2 linked regions of the Canis lupus familiaris genome follow. The protein of the gene in region 2 purifies or fractionates together with the protein of the main gene of each other region. This does not show direct contact. Links are inferred from orthologs where the notes say so. Each region holds a gene or a part of one and is shown on either strand. Other genes may lie near its edges.

Region 1 (7,424 bases), on a different chromosome or scaffold from region 2:
CATCTGAGAGGATTTAAAGGTTTATTTATTTATTTTTAAGGATTTTATTTATTCATGAAAGACACACAGAGGGAGAGAGAGAGAGAGAGAAAGAGAGAGAGAGAGAGAGAGAAGCAGAAACATAGGCAGAAGATGAAGCAGGCTCCTCGCAGGGAACCCAATGTGGGACTCAATTCTGGACCCTGGGATCATGCCCTGAGCCAAAGGCAGATGCTCAACTGCTGAGGTATCCAGGGATCCCAGGATTTAAAGGTTCCACTAGATTTTTCAGCCCCATTGTTGCTAAATTTTTCTGTGATTTTTATACCTCTTTATGAACTAAGTTCTTAGTAAGAGATTCTCTCCTCTGGGAGCCCCAAAATGAACAGGCTTTCTGGAACCTGAAGGTGGCTCCTCAGTGACCTCTTTCCCTAGACATCTGAAACAACAGAAGGCCCTTCTGTCTATTTGTGCATGAGCAATCTGGACAAGACCTTGGAGTTTCACGGGAACCATCCAAAACCCATCACTTACTACCTAGCCTTCCCTTGACATGCTATATGCCCCTAGTGTTAGGGCAGGTGTTCTGCTGCAAAATTTGTGGATGCTTCTGCCGAGCTAGTTCCAGGCTCCTCGCTTGACCTCATGATCCTTCCTGAAGTAGAGACATTACTATTGACTGGAAACAGCACTTCTCAGCCAGCTGCTTAACATCTTATGAAATTCTATTACTCTCTCCCTCTCAGGTACTACTTACTGCTACAATACCCTGAATCCAGACATTCTGCTTCTCTTAGCAGAAGAAGGGGAGCCTAGTGATCATTTTACCTCAGATAATTTGGGAACTCTCTGTACCTTACTCACATGTATTATAGTCTCATATTGAGAACCCTGAACTAATCCTGTTTGCTGATGGATCATTCTCGAAGCTGGAAGATATCAAGCAGCATGTACTATCATTAATTGAAGGTCTCCTTTAGAATTTAGTCCTCTCCTGAGGTAAAATCAGTCAAAATGGCAGAAGGTGTTGCATTTACTACAGCTTGTTAACTAGCCAAAGACTAGAGGGTAAACATATAATATAGACAGGAAATATGTTTTTGGGGTGCCACACAACTTTGGGATGCTAGAACCCCCACAAAAATGGACAAGTTAAGCAACTTTTAGATGCATTCTATTTACTACAAAGGTGACTACTATGAAGGTCGAGAACCATGCAAAAAGAGACAACAATATTGAAGCTAAAGGCAACGCTCTGCAGATCATGATGCCAAACAACTAAATTTTCTCCCTGAAACTATTCATGGAGCACAAATTGATTACTACCTTAAATTGACACTGGAGAAGCTGTAAAGGGACAGCTGCATTGTTCTAAATTTCATGTGGGTAAGTCATGGTGTGTGCCAATCCTAATACTGTCCTTGGATCAGTGACACAGGGAAGGTGGGGCAGGCTCTACAGTGCCTTACGGGTAAAAGCTACTTGCTCTGTAAAACTGACCCTCAGGACCTGTATGGAATTTATTCTTGGGCCTGGGTTAGGATTCTGGGTTCAAAGCATCTGACAGGGGTTATTAATTGTTCTCATTCTTATTTATGTCATAGGGGTAGTAATACTGGTCCACTGCATTCTATCCAGGGTCTGAAATGCTTCTGCACAGCTACTTTCCTCATCAGATGATCCTCATGGTGATACAACAGAAAGGCTGAAAAGACTTCATGATACAGTTGGCCTTGTAGAGGACTGAACAATCAATCTCAAAGTGGTGAAGATCTGGATTTCTTTTTTTTTTTTTTTTTTTAAGATCTGGATTTCTAGACTTCCCTAAATTCACCAACTTCTCACAAGCAAGAAAATGATCAGAAAGGAAGACTGAGAGACAATATGCAGACATACAATGACCAGACCACATGTAAACTGAGAAGCCCTGACCCATACCTCTGTAGGAACTGGCCCAGAATGGTCGGGGCTTGGTCTATGACTGCCACGTTCCCCACTTTTGCTATTTCCAAATCAGAACCAATCAGAGAGAGCCAAATATGTTCCCAAAGCAAATCTCATAAGATGCCCGACTTCTAGGTAGCCTACCTTCCGCTTCCCCCTGCCAACAACTTCCAAGCACAACGTGCCTGAAGCCTCTCTCCCTCACCCCCTTTTTTACTGTAAAGCTTTTCCCTCCTCTGCCTGCGTTCGAGTTTCTGTCAAAACCAACTGATGGTGGTTGACTCTCTTACTATAGCAAGTTCAGAATAAATAACCTCTGCTTGTTCTCATTTGGATGGTCTTTACTTATTTCCATGAAACTTAAGATTATAGATAATTGGGGTCCTCTGAAAAAAATACAATTTTCTACCACAATGCTTTTTTTAAAAAAATATTTTATTTATTCATGAGAGACACAGAGAGAGAGAGAGGCAGAGGGAGAAGCAGGCTCCCCAAGGGGAGCCTGATGTGGGACTTTATCCCAGAACCCCGGAATCATGACCTGAGCCAAAGGTGGATGCTCAACCACTGAGTCACCCAAGTCCCCCACACAATACTTCTTTTACTTCAATGACTATCTCATGAAAGACCAGAATCCTTCCATCCTCTGTATCACTCCTTTTCTTAAAAATCTGATAATCTTTTCTTTCCACACATTAGGAAGTCCCCCAAACCCTTGGCATGCACCTGACCTGCCAGGCCCTGTGGCCACAGACCCTCCAGGGAAATTTCCTCTTTAAAGCTCCCAGGATGGGGATCCCTGGGTGGCTCAGCGGTTTGGCGCCTGCCTTTGGCCCAGGGCGTGATCCTGGAGTCCCGGGATTGAGTCCCACGTCAGGCTCCTGGCATGAAGCCTGCTTCTCCCTCTGCCTCTCTCTCTCTGTGTGTGTCTAAAATAAATAAATAAATCTTTAAAATAAATAAATAAATAAATAAATAAATAAATAAATAAATAAATAAATAAATAAAAAATAAAGCTCCCAGGAGGCACAACATGTGAAGCATGTCATAGGCCCTTGGTGAAAGAAGCATCTGAGGACAGGGGCTGTGACACAGGCACCATGTGGGCTCCCTACAGTCCTCTGGGCAAAGTCCCTTGCCTCAGGGAGTAAGAGGCAGCCTTGCGTTCTTCCTTCTTCCAGTCTAGACCCTTCCCAAACCATAGGAATGACTTTACTCCACAGGGGAAATGACATGTGCAGAAAAGGACTGGCATGGAGGTGAGAGACAAGAGCAGCCAAAAAACATATGGTTTATTCTGGTACTGTTTACAAAACTGACCAAGATTAAAAGAAACGGGGACACTTAAAATGAACTTCACATTTTTATTCATGAAATTGATCATTTTCATGGTAAATATTATGTTTATGAAATATCAAAATGATTTCCTTCTCAAAAAGTTACTTTTGTGTTTTGTTTTGTTTTTTAGTTTTGGAATGTACTTACCTTGCTTCTCATGCTAACTTTGAACTTGAATTGCTGTGTCCTCTGAATGGATGCAGGGTTATGGTGCCTCCCGGTGTGGAACAGAACTCCTGAAGTCATGGTGGTTGGGTTGGAGTGGTCTTGGGTTGTGACTCCTTCCATGCTGCCTGGCCCAGTTCCTTGTGACACTGATGTTTCTGCAGTCACCAAGTTCCTGTAGATGGCTTCCCTGTCACAACTCTGGGCCAGGCTCACATTGAGAGATGTCGGTTGGCCAGGTCCTGTGATTTAGCACATCCCACAAAACATCTGCAAAATTATCTCATTACTTGACATAGCCATCAAAACCTGAGTTGCAAAGATTAACCATGATTTCTTTTGGGCATTGATAGTGCATACCTCTTTGACTCTGGGTGTGATGCTCACTCTTGCTGCTGTTACACTGCCCCCCCCCCCCCCCGCCCCATCCAGCCTTGGCTGCAGAATGGATAGGTGCTCCAAATTGAAAAATTCTCTACATAGAGGTTCTGATTTTTTGTGATGTCAGCTAAGAACAGTTCCTGTGAATCCCTAGAGTTCTAACAAGGCCATCAAGGTTGCTGCCTGTGGAGAAGAGATGAGAGAACAGAACAGGCAGACTGTTTTCTGCACAAGGACAAGAGCAGAGGATAAGGTCTGTGAATATCTTCATGCTGAAGGGATGAGGAAGCTCCTCCACCACTACGCATGCCCTTCAGACCACCATGTCTTTCCAGAGCCACAGAGTTAGGGATTTCTCAGGCATCATCTAGAACCACCCTAAATGCCACCTGCTAAATATCTTATACATGAATATGCCCAAGGGAGGAGAGGAAACCATTCACTGGGGGAAATGATGCTTTATTTATACTGGGGAAGATTATGCTTTCCCTTTGAATTTTCTATTACATATAAAGTATTTGTCCAAGCCCCATTCTCAGGCATTATATTCAACTAAATTTCCACTCTTAAAATAAGCTGCCCTTATGGTAGAAAAGCATCATTTGTGGAAATTGGTGGAGAAATGTGCTTTTTAAGACAAATAAACCAAACATACAAACACTACTAATGGAAGTTCAATGCTCTTGAAAAAGGGGGCTTTTAGTATTTTAGTATTAGCTTTTCTCAGCATGGGTTTCTAAACGGTCAGAGGAAAAGACTGTAACATATCGCTCACCCTAGAAATTACGTTTACTTCCAGCCCCTGTGATTCAGATTGAAGGGGGACGTCAAGAGTGGACATGGGTGCTGAGGCCAGAAGCCAGAGCTCCGAGGGCCAGGGGCAGTCTGTCCAGGTATGTGTGTGTGTGTGTGTGTGTGTGTGTGTGTGCACGTGTGTAATGACATAGGCTTTTGGCATTTCACGACACACTCAGAAATCAGATTTATATTGGTAACAACTTGTGTTTGCCAACTGACCTATCTGCTCCCTGCCAGGCATTTGAGGAGGAGTTCAGAGAATGCATGCATAACCCAGCAGAAAGACTTGGTCTTTTAAGCTTATGGTAGTTCAGGGCAAAAGTTTATCACTGACTGTACCAGACTTTCAGTTATGGCTATGCATTTTGCATCCCTTCTTGCACATCTGTCTAATGGCAGCTTTAAGAAATCAGCCCCATTTGCTAGAGAACCGCAAACACCTGAACTCGATGTGGCTGTTGCTCTCTTTCAGGGAAAGAAACACAAAGGAAAGAATGGTGGAACTAGCTGCACTTTAACAGTTCCCATAATGTGCCTAGTCACCTACATATTGTTCAAGATAAGTCAATGACCAAGCACCTCCTAGTTCTTTGAGCACTGTCACTTCCCCAGGGGTTACCATGACAGATCTCCTTGTGGTATTTCAATCCTTACACATTGAAACTTCAAAATCAGAAACCTGATGTTTCCAACTGGGAAGTTAAAAAGAGAAAAGAAGTTTACACATTTTACGATAGATGATTTTATTCACATAATTGAAATTATTTCCTTAGTCACCTTGTTACAAAAGCAAATTAACAATGGTATGGTTTAGTAACCTTTCATAAATAGATTTTACAAATTTTAATAACTGACAGATTGCTACTTAATGCTCAGTAATACTTAATACTTGGTAACTTCAGTGTATATGCATATGAAAATAGTCTGCTAGGACCAGTAAGTATGAGTGCTTTTAAAACTCAGGAATAGACATTAGATAACTGGTCAAGGGTTAAGACCTGGAGCTTTCACCCTGCCAGGAACAAACCCACTGTGGCAACTCGCACCTGTTGAGTAGGTATCTTTTAACAATTTGAAGAGTTTATCCTTTTTTCTGCATTTAATAAGACTGTCATTAACCACATCTGAAAACCAAAAGTTTACCACAACTAGATTATTTGTAAAAGAACTTATCACAGTGTGTCTGAAAAGTGGCCTAAACTAAAGCCACGTTACAGCGTGTTTTTCCAGCTCTCTGCGGGTTTGTGTGCACACGCATACACACACATACTATGAGGCTCTGCTACATACTCATCCAAGCTACAAAAATGCCCTAATTTTACTGCTTTTGTGAAACGCCTATGAGATACAGCGTTTGGATGAGACACTGTCAGTCCTTTACAGTGCTTTAAGTCTGAAGGCCAGGCAGCGTGTTGGGAACTGACCCTCTCCCTAGAAGTTACAGTCAGAAGAGCAGCTGGGGACTTCCCGAAAGCCACCCCCACAGATGGGAGGAGTACTGAGTGTCTGTGACCACAAACAAGCAGTGAAGAATGTCAAGAAGCTTATGAGTCATGGTCAGAATCTAATAAACAGGAATGTCTCACTATAGCAGCATTAACTTACAAAGACAGAAAGAGTGGATACACGTACCTTTTCACACAAGCTCTATGAGAGCCAAAACATTGTCTTTTCCACATCAGAACTGTAATCAGAGGGTAGCAGTCCTTGGTCATTGTCAATGTTACTTCTAACATAACTAGCTGAACTGTCCTTTTTAAGCTGAGCACTAACCCCACCCACTACTCCTAATGTATGAGACGAGCCACTGCTTTCTGGCGCTGGACATGTGGTGCATGAAGGCTGGCAGCAGTGGGATTCACAGCAGCCAAGTCTCAGCTGTCAGCAATCCTTGGACTGGAGGCCACTCCACTCAAATGCCCCTTTTCTTCATACCGTTCTTGTCAGGGCGCAGTGATCACTCAGTGATGGGGACAGAAGCGTCTGTGAGCCCATTCCCCTCACACCACCCACCTACATAGTAAATATGGCATCAAATCTCTCCATTGTGCTAAATTTAAAAATCATTTAAATCATGATAAAAATCAAACGTCTTCCTAAGAAAAGGCGCCATGATTAAAAAAATAAAACCAAAAATGTTCTCAAGAACTCGAATGCTGAGTTGAGGCCCATCCCGAGGTCTCCTCATCCCCTCCAGCCCTGGCTGTAGTGGGTTTTGACACCCCTACAAGGCCTTGCTGGGCTCTTGTTCTGAACAAGAACATGTTGTTTGGGCCAGATTTTATTTTTCCTGTTGCCTTTTGGTGTGTGTGCTTCGTGTTTAAATCTTGTTGCCTTGTTTGGTGGCAACCAGAAAAATAAAACAGCTCAGGTAGTGATTGAAGGACCCACATGTGTGAGGACAGAATGTGTGGTGGTCACCGATGAGCACGGACCAACACAGGGTACTACTGAGGGCCGAAGAGGAAGGAATAACTAAAGGCTGGACTCACAACTCTGGTCCAGTGGCTACGTGTGCCAGGAGGGAAAATCACCAGCCAGTGTGAGGTGCACAAAGGAGGGGCCGGCAGACTTTCCATTCTCGGCATGTTTCTTCCCCTTGTGAGTCCATTACCTTTCACAAAGAAATGTTAACTATCAAATGCGTCCATTAATTGTGCCGCTGAGGGTGAAACCATCCAGTTAGCATATACACTATCATTTGCATATCTTGGACACACAGAGTTAGTGCCATCAGCTCTCGTGAGTGGTACAGGACTCTCTTCAGGCCAGTTCGGGTCTGACATGCCTAAAAATGAAAACAGATAATTTGTTCTGCA
Region 2 (7,271 bases):
TGTTAATTATCTCAACTGTTTATTAGAATAATATTCAGCAATATAGAATCCAGGATGGTAACTGATCTTCAGAATTATAAATAACCCATGTGAAGAAAAAAGGAAACTTTTTCCTAATAATATCCATGAGTCATTCTTAAAAACATGTTGCCATTATGCTATGTAATGATCTCAGAGGGCAAGTAAATATTACCTAAAACGTCAAAGGAAACAAACCTGTTGATGATTTTTCAAGTTTAGTGATTATAATCCTAAAAAACAAAGTATAACACTGGGGGAAAAGAAAAGCAGAGAAATTCCAGTAACAATTTTAATTTATTTATCCCCCTAATTAACTTTTTTTTTTTTACCATGGAAAAAACTGGAAATCAAATGTCATTATGTTATATAAGGTTTATACTTACTTTAAACAAAAATGTAACATAGTGTTAAAACTGGCTTTCCAAAATTGTTACAGCATAGCTGTACTCTGCACTAATAATCACAAAGTTGTAATATAGAACTCTGTTAAGCAGTCCCATTATGTTCTTACAAAAATAGAATTAAACTGTGTGACCAGACAAGGACTTCAATTACACTACTTGGCAAACTTAGAATTTCAATGGAGTCTTTTTTTCCTCTTGCAGTTTAAAGCAAAAGTCAAATATCACATCTTTCTCAAGACTCACAAAGATGATTCAGGTTGTTTGTTTGGCATTTTTTTAATCTCTATCACAACAGCAGGGATGCTTTCAACTTTAGTCCTCCGGGGCTTCTTCTCTAGATTGTCGCTAAGTTCTAGACAAGAAATGCTAACTGTTGGGGCCTTTTCTGCATCCTTTCCAGAAGGGGCTTGTGGCCGTGTCCCACAACACTGCTTCAAAGCACACTGAGTTCTGCAGGCAAGTTCACACGGGACTACACTTGATTTAGAGCCTACGCTAGCAAATTCAGGCTGAATGGTAGTAGCGTGAATTCCGTGATTATGAAAAACGTCTTTAATGATTTTGGCCACCTGCATGTAGGATGTCGGGTCTTCACATTTTATGTGAGCAGTGGCAATGATTCTGCTTCCAGCAAGTTGCCAGACATGTAATTCATGAACTTCCTCAACTCCTTCAACATCTCGAAGTTCTTTTATCAAATTTTTGATATCAATTTGTTTAGGAACAGTTTGCAGAAGAATTAGAGCAGATTCCTTAAGTAATGGATAAGTTGTGTAAAGAAGTATACAAACCATTACAATGCAAAGAGTTGGATCTAAATATAGCACCCAGCAAGGACCAGCCTCATGAACTGTTGCATGAGTACTATTAATTATTTCTACAAATGCTTTGCAGGGGTCAGGGATACATGGATTCACACAAAACTCCCCTTCAGGACAACCCCTCCAAGAAAAGTAAAAGACCAAGGCATTTACTACTACAATCACTGAACCCAAAGCATCTCCAAAGACATGCAGAAAAACTCCACGCATGTTAAGTTGTGCAGCCTTATCGTCATCTTCCAATTCCACATGGTCAGATTCTCTGATAAGATTCCCATTCACTTGTACTTCCACTGCATCATTTCTAGACTTTTCTGGATCTATAAAGAAAGGAAAAACGCTGTATCAAATACATTAGCAGTGTTTATACAAACTTCTTCATTCAAGTCCATTTTAGTGAAAGAGGTGAACATTTTTCATGGAATAAAATTTTTTTAAAACGTGCCCAGGACAGTTTATTATATAAACTGACATGTTGGGAACAAGCCAGGGCAAAATCAAGTCCTTAAGGAGATAGTGCTTCCCCGTTCTCCAAACCAGCCCCCTACTTCTCCCACCTCCAAAAAAAGTTCATCTTTTCTGTGGGGGTGGGGTCCCCTGTACATTCTGCTCTACTTTTCGGCATATGCAAGAGAAAACGTAAAATCGAATGCTATCACCCACAAATTAAATGCAACTAGGAAGAAGTCTACTACAAATGCCTGATTTGACACACAGCTCTGGTCCCTCTTTGTCATTAAGGTGTTGTAGCTAAATCTTAACTTTTATCATGAACAGAAACCAAGAAAAGAGTCTCTTGGTGGAGTGTTTAGAAACGACAAATCAGCAATATGAGCCCATCAACAATCATAAACTTCAGGAAAAGCTGCAACGATCACTATCTACCCTACCAGTTCTTAAACCAAACGTACCCATCTTTTAAAGGAATTACTGTCTACACACCAGAGCAGCCTCGTTTTCTTTGGAATAAGACCTCGCAGAGGGGGAGTAAGGGGAAATTCAACTGTTTAGTAAACCTTTCAATGTACAAGTTCAATTTCATTAACGTGATATCCTGCACCTCGAAGAAAGAACAAGTAGTATCATCCGACTAAACAAATAAATATAAGCGGAAAAAGGCTGGATGGAAATACACCAAATTATTAACATCATCAGAGCTTGGGGAGCTGGGCTTTGGTCGATTCCTTTTCCCCATCTCTTTTCTTTCAGCATTTTCCAAATTGCTTTCAAGAGTAATCATATTTAGAGGGGGGGGGGGGGAAGCATCCAGTAAAAAGGGAATAAGGGAAGTCACCGTCAGGCTTATTTTATAGTATGATTTTCCAAAGTCCGGAGTGAAAGGTTAAAACATGACCAAACAGGGTCCTGAACTAGGATCTGCAGGATTAGGCTCAGACTGGAGACAAGTAAGTGAAATACACACACACACACACACACACACACACACACACACACGATGCCCGTTCGGAAAAGACACCTTTCACCGGGCTTTTGGGGTGAGGGAAGTCCATGGCTAGGGGGGCTCTGAAAAGAAGAAACTTGTTTGAAGGGCACAGGAACTACTCGGGCAGGGCAAGGTTTGTGACGGCCAACAACTCAGGATGAGGTGGGGATTCTCTCCGTTTCCCAAGGGGTGGGGGTGGGGGTGGGGGGTCGGGGGCAGGAAACTGAATTAGGAAGCACTTTGGATTCCGTGGAAACCCCGATCAGGAGAGTCTCTCGGGAAGACGGCTCCCGAGGGCGGCTGTGGACGGTCCCCCCCCCCCCGCCCCCTCTGCCCCCCGCCGCCCTGGGTCCCCGAGAGCCCCGCGGGCCCCGGACGGCGGCCCCGGACGGCGGCGGCGCGGGCAGCAGGGGGCGTGCGGCCCTCCCGCCCCGGGCCGGCCGAGGGTCCCGCCGTCCCCCGGCCCGGCCACCTGCGGTCACCCTCCCCGGCCGCTCACCTGGCCGCTCCAGTTTCAGCCCGTTGGAGTTGCTGCTGTTGGACACCAGCGTGTTGGTCTCCTCCGCGTCGGGCCTCTGCTCGCCCGGGGTCTCGCTGTCGTCGCCGGCCCCGGCGCGGCCGCCCTTGCCGCGGGCCCCCTTGGGGAGGCCGTGGCCGTGCCCCCCGTGCGAGTGGCCGTGGCCCGAGTCGTTGCCGAAGCCGCTGTGATGGTGGAAGAGGCACAGCCCCATCACGTTGACCAGCAGCCCGGCCACGCCGACCCCGAGGACCACCAGCGGCTGCTGCATCTCGTGCGGCTCGATGAAGCGCTCGATGGCCTCCAGCAGGATGGCGAAGCAGAGGCCGGTCAGGAAGATGGCGTTCACCAGGGCCCCCATCACCTCGGCCCGGATCCAGCCGAACGTGTTCTTCTGGGTGGCGTGGGTCCGCCGGGCGAAGCGCTCGGCCACCAGCGCCACCACCAGCGCCAGCACGTCCGACAGCATGTGGAAGGAGTCGGAGAGCATCGCCAGGGACGAGGTCACCTGGCTCACCACCACCTCGAGCACCATGAACATGAAGGTCAGCAGCAGCATGCACACCAGCCGGCCCCGGTTGCGACCCCAGCACCCCATGGCTGCGGGCCGGCGGCTGCCCTGGCGGCGCGGGCGCGGGCGCGGGCTCGGGCGGGGGCGCGGCGCGGGGGGCGCCGGGGGGCGGGGGGTGCGGGGCGCCGCGGGGCGGGCTGCGCGGCCGGGCGGGGTTGAGCCCCGGGGTCAGGCCGCCGCGCCCCCGCGCCCGAGGGCGTCCCCGGCGGGCGGGCGGGCGGGCGGCGCGCAGCTGCTCAGGCGGCCGTGCTCGGGGCCGGCGCCGAGGCCCGGCTCAGCCCCAGCAGCCCCCACACCACAGCGGGGCGGCGGCGGCGGCGGCGGCGGCGGCGGCGGCGGGGGCCGAGGCGGCGGCGGGGAGCCGGGGCTGCTCCGGGGGCCGGGGGGCGAAGAGCCGGAGCGGCAGCGGCGGCGGGCGGGCGGCGGGGGCGGGCGACGGGCAGCTCCGCGCTGCCAAGGCTGCGAGCATCTGCAGGGCTCTCGGCGCAGGTCTTCCCGCCGCTGGTCTCCTCCGCTGGGACTCGGACCGCGGAGCTGACGCCTGAAGAGCTAAAAAGGCGGCGGCCCCGGCAGCTGCACTCGGCCCGGTCTCCGGCGCCTTCTTCGCCCCCCCGCCTTTGCAGACGGTTTACAAAAAAACTTTGCTTTGCACTCGGAACCCCCGTTTTCACACGGACCCGAGCGTGACAAGGCCCCGGCGCCCCGCCCACCAGGCCCGGCACGCCTCCCCATTGGCCGGGACCCCCTCACGACAGCCTCCGCTCCCCGCCCTCCCGCGCTCGCCATTGGGTGGGGGCTCGGGGGGGCGGGAGGGGGCGGGGCCGAGGCGCCAACAGATGGGGGCGGGGCCTTCCTCTCCGGGAGCCGGGCGTGGGCCGGGGGCCGCGGCCGGGTGCAGCGGCGGGCGTCGTGGGGGAGGGTCGGGGGCGCGGGCCGCGTGCAGCAGGAGGGGGCGGGGCGGGGCGGGGCGGGGCGGGCGCGGTCCCCCGGGGCGCGGCGGGGCGGCTGCCGGCGCCCTGCGGGTCCTCGCGGCGCCCCGCGCGCCCACGGGGGCCGGGCGGCCGGCAGACTTTGATCCTCCGCGCCGAGTCCACGTGGTGGGTGAAGGGACGGCTCGGGAGGCGAGTTGACCGAAGTCAAGCCATCTTGGTATTTCGGCTGACCCTTAACCTAAAAGTCAGCAGGTCATAAAAAGAGTCACAAGATCCCACTGATGGAAGACCACAAGACCCGACTCCCTCTGGCAGGAGCAGGCACAGAGGCTGCACATTCTTAAAATTGCTCCCTGTGGGTAATTGCACAGCCCTAGGACAACAGGACTCCCCGCTCGGGGTGGGTGATAAAGTTCAGCAGTAAGCCCCTCCCGAGACCTCAGCCGATTTTTTAAAATTAAAAAAAAAAAAACAAAAAAACTTACAAAACCGTTACAGGCAAAGGTGATGGGGGGGGGGTCTGCTGCCCCACCTGGGAGGAGAGACCGCTGCTTTGTCTACGAAGGGCCCCCCCTTCCAGGTAGACTTTGGTCCCCGTCCCTAAGGGCTGGCTCCCGAATGCCCCCTCCGCCGAGACACCCCCCCCCCCCCCCCCGGGCCCGAGAGCCGCCCTCGCGCGGCCTCCACCCGCCGCCGTCCGTGGAAGAGACCAGAGACTCTGCGGCGCTGTGTGACCGACGGCAGCCCGGGATGGGGGGGGGGGGGAGCCGGGGGGGGGTGTCCCCGGGGGTCCACGCGCCCTTCCTGCCCCGAGACCCGGGGTGACGCGGCCGCGCTGAGCACCTCGACCTTCCGAGCGGTCCTGCAAACGGCAGGAGCCGTGTCTCTGAAAATGTTTCAACCGAGCAGACCACCCCTATCACCAGCATCCCTAGGAGACCTTGTGTAAAGCCAGATATTATCTAAGGACAGTGTAGGGCACCGACGTCAAGCGGGAGCAACCCGGGCTCCGGTGCCAGCTGTGGGACTTGGAGGAGCGTCACCCAATCTCGCTTAGACCTGTTTCTTCATATAGTAAAGGATTGGGCAAGAGGAACTCTTTAAGATCCTTTCTGACTCTAAAATTCGAAGGCTCTGTGATTGAACAAACGTTTTATTTATAGACTACAGAGAGCTGAACCCTGTGTTGGTTGCTATGGGGAAGGGAGGGCCAGTTAAGAATACAAAAGCAGGCGCTTCTGTCCAGGTGGAGGTAAACTATCAACATATAAAATGTTGGAGTTACACTGAAATACTCAATAAATTGTGCCAGCTCTAGTTTAGAGTGCATCCGTATGCGCTGTGCGCTGAGTGATGAGTTCACCTGGGAAGTGAAGATTTCCTGTTCCTCAAGTGGAGGGGTGGCTGCAATCAGAGTCACCTAAGCTGGACCCCTAAAGGCCTTCCACATCCCCCGCCCCCCAGCAGAAGGAAGAACCCCCACTGTTCTGGATTGCTACAAAACAAAAGCAGTGCTAGCCTGTGCCTCAGGATCTATATATAAGGCTAGTTTGGAGCCATGTTATTTTGCATTTTAAAAAATATTTCTATTTCTGTTTTCTTTTTCCCCATTTGTATGTGGTATGTTTCTCATTTCTCCATCCAAACTACAGAGCTGGATCCCTCATCTTCTATTTCTGTTCTCCAGCAACAGAAAAGAAGGGAGAAAAGTTTTCCAGACAGTATAAAAGGAGGAATTGATAGGAGTCGATGGTGAATTGGGAGGGTGAAAACGAAGGAGGAGAATTTAACCAAAAGAGTTCAAATGTTTTAACCTGCTAAAGAAAATACTGCTTTATACAGGTGAGGAAGTTGGTGAGGTGGGGTGGTGGAGGGAGGAGCTGACTTTAAGGGGAAACTAGCCCATTTTTAGTGTGCTAAATTTGAGATGAAGTCTGGATGGTGACAGTGCTAAGGAGTGGGGAGATGGGACTTGGGGGTTCATAATAGTTCAACTGTCCGTACCCCCTTTGGTGTGGACAATTGACATTTAACTGATCATATTGAGTAAACACAGCTTCAAACTTCCTTCCAACTAGCCCCTCCAATCTAGAAATGGGGTGCCACTTATGGGTCAAGATATTCCAGGGAAATGGCTGAGAGGCAGTTGGAAGACTATTTTGCTGCTTATCAGGAGCTGCTGTGTCCCTTTATTTAAGCAACAGATTTCTCCAAATGTGAGAATTTAATGCCCAAAGAAGAACCAATAAGGAGATGTAGAAGGCAGCGCTGCTCAGGAAACAGGATAGTAATCTCGCCAATAACGAAGCAGACTGAATTGGAAGATGTCTAGATCTATATAGAAACAGGCTCGGGGACACCTGGGTGGCTCCGTCAGGTAAGCCATCCCATGCTGCATTTCGGCTCACATCACAATCTCAGGGTCAGGAGATGGAGCCCCGCTCCTGTTCTGAGGGCTGGGCGTGGAACCTATACATAGGATTCTCTCTCCCTCTCCCTCTGCTCCTCCTCTCCCCTTGCCTCCCCTGCCCCCCCCCCCCCCCCACCTCTTGCACTGGCTG

What was found. Proteins that work in one complex are often made in the same cells at the same time.
Region 1: the proteins of SLC30A1 (region 2) and CSGALNACT2 purify together in Homo sapiens (co-immunoprecipitation; 3 studies listed by BioGRID and IntAct, counting the BioPlex papers as one, with this or other methods). This does not show direct contact. The link is inferred for Canis lupus familiaris from reciprocal best matches to the Homo sapiens genes SLC30A1 and CSGALNACT2.

Annotation. Positions count from the first base shown.
Region 1 is NC_049249.1:4,093,861-4,101,284, forward strand, and holds the start of CSGALNACT2 (chondroitin sulfate N-acetylgalactosaminyltransferase 2), read right to left. Parts: upstream 3,867-7,424; 5' UTR 3,787-3,866; exon of another isoform or gene 3,697-3,786; 5' UTR 3,409-3,696; intron 2,253-3,408; exon of another isoform or gene 1,584-2,252; intron 1,366-1,583; exon of another isoform or gene 1,169-1,365; intron 1-1,168. Other genes in the region: proto-oncogene tyrosine-protein kinase receptor Ret, read right to left, coding at 7,236-7,393. UniProt on the Homo sapiens protein: Transfers 1,4-N-acetylgalactosamine (GalNAc) from UDP-GalNAc to the non-reducing end of glucuronic acid (GlcUA). Required for addition of the first GalNAc to the core tetrasaccharide linker and for elongation of chondroitin chains.
Region 2 is NC_049228.1:9,810,861-9,818,131, forward strand, and holds the start of SLC30A1 (zinc transporter 1), read right to left. Parts: upstream 3,844-7,271; 5' UTR 3,806-3,843; coding exon 3,190-3,805; intron 1,567-3,189; coding exon 665-1,566; 3' UTR 1-664. UniProt on the Homo sapiens protein: Zinc ion:proton antiporter that could function at the plasma membrane mediating zinc efflux from cells against its electrochemical gradient protecting them from intracellular zinc accumulation and toxicity.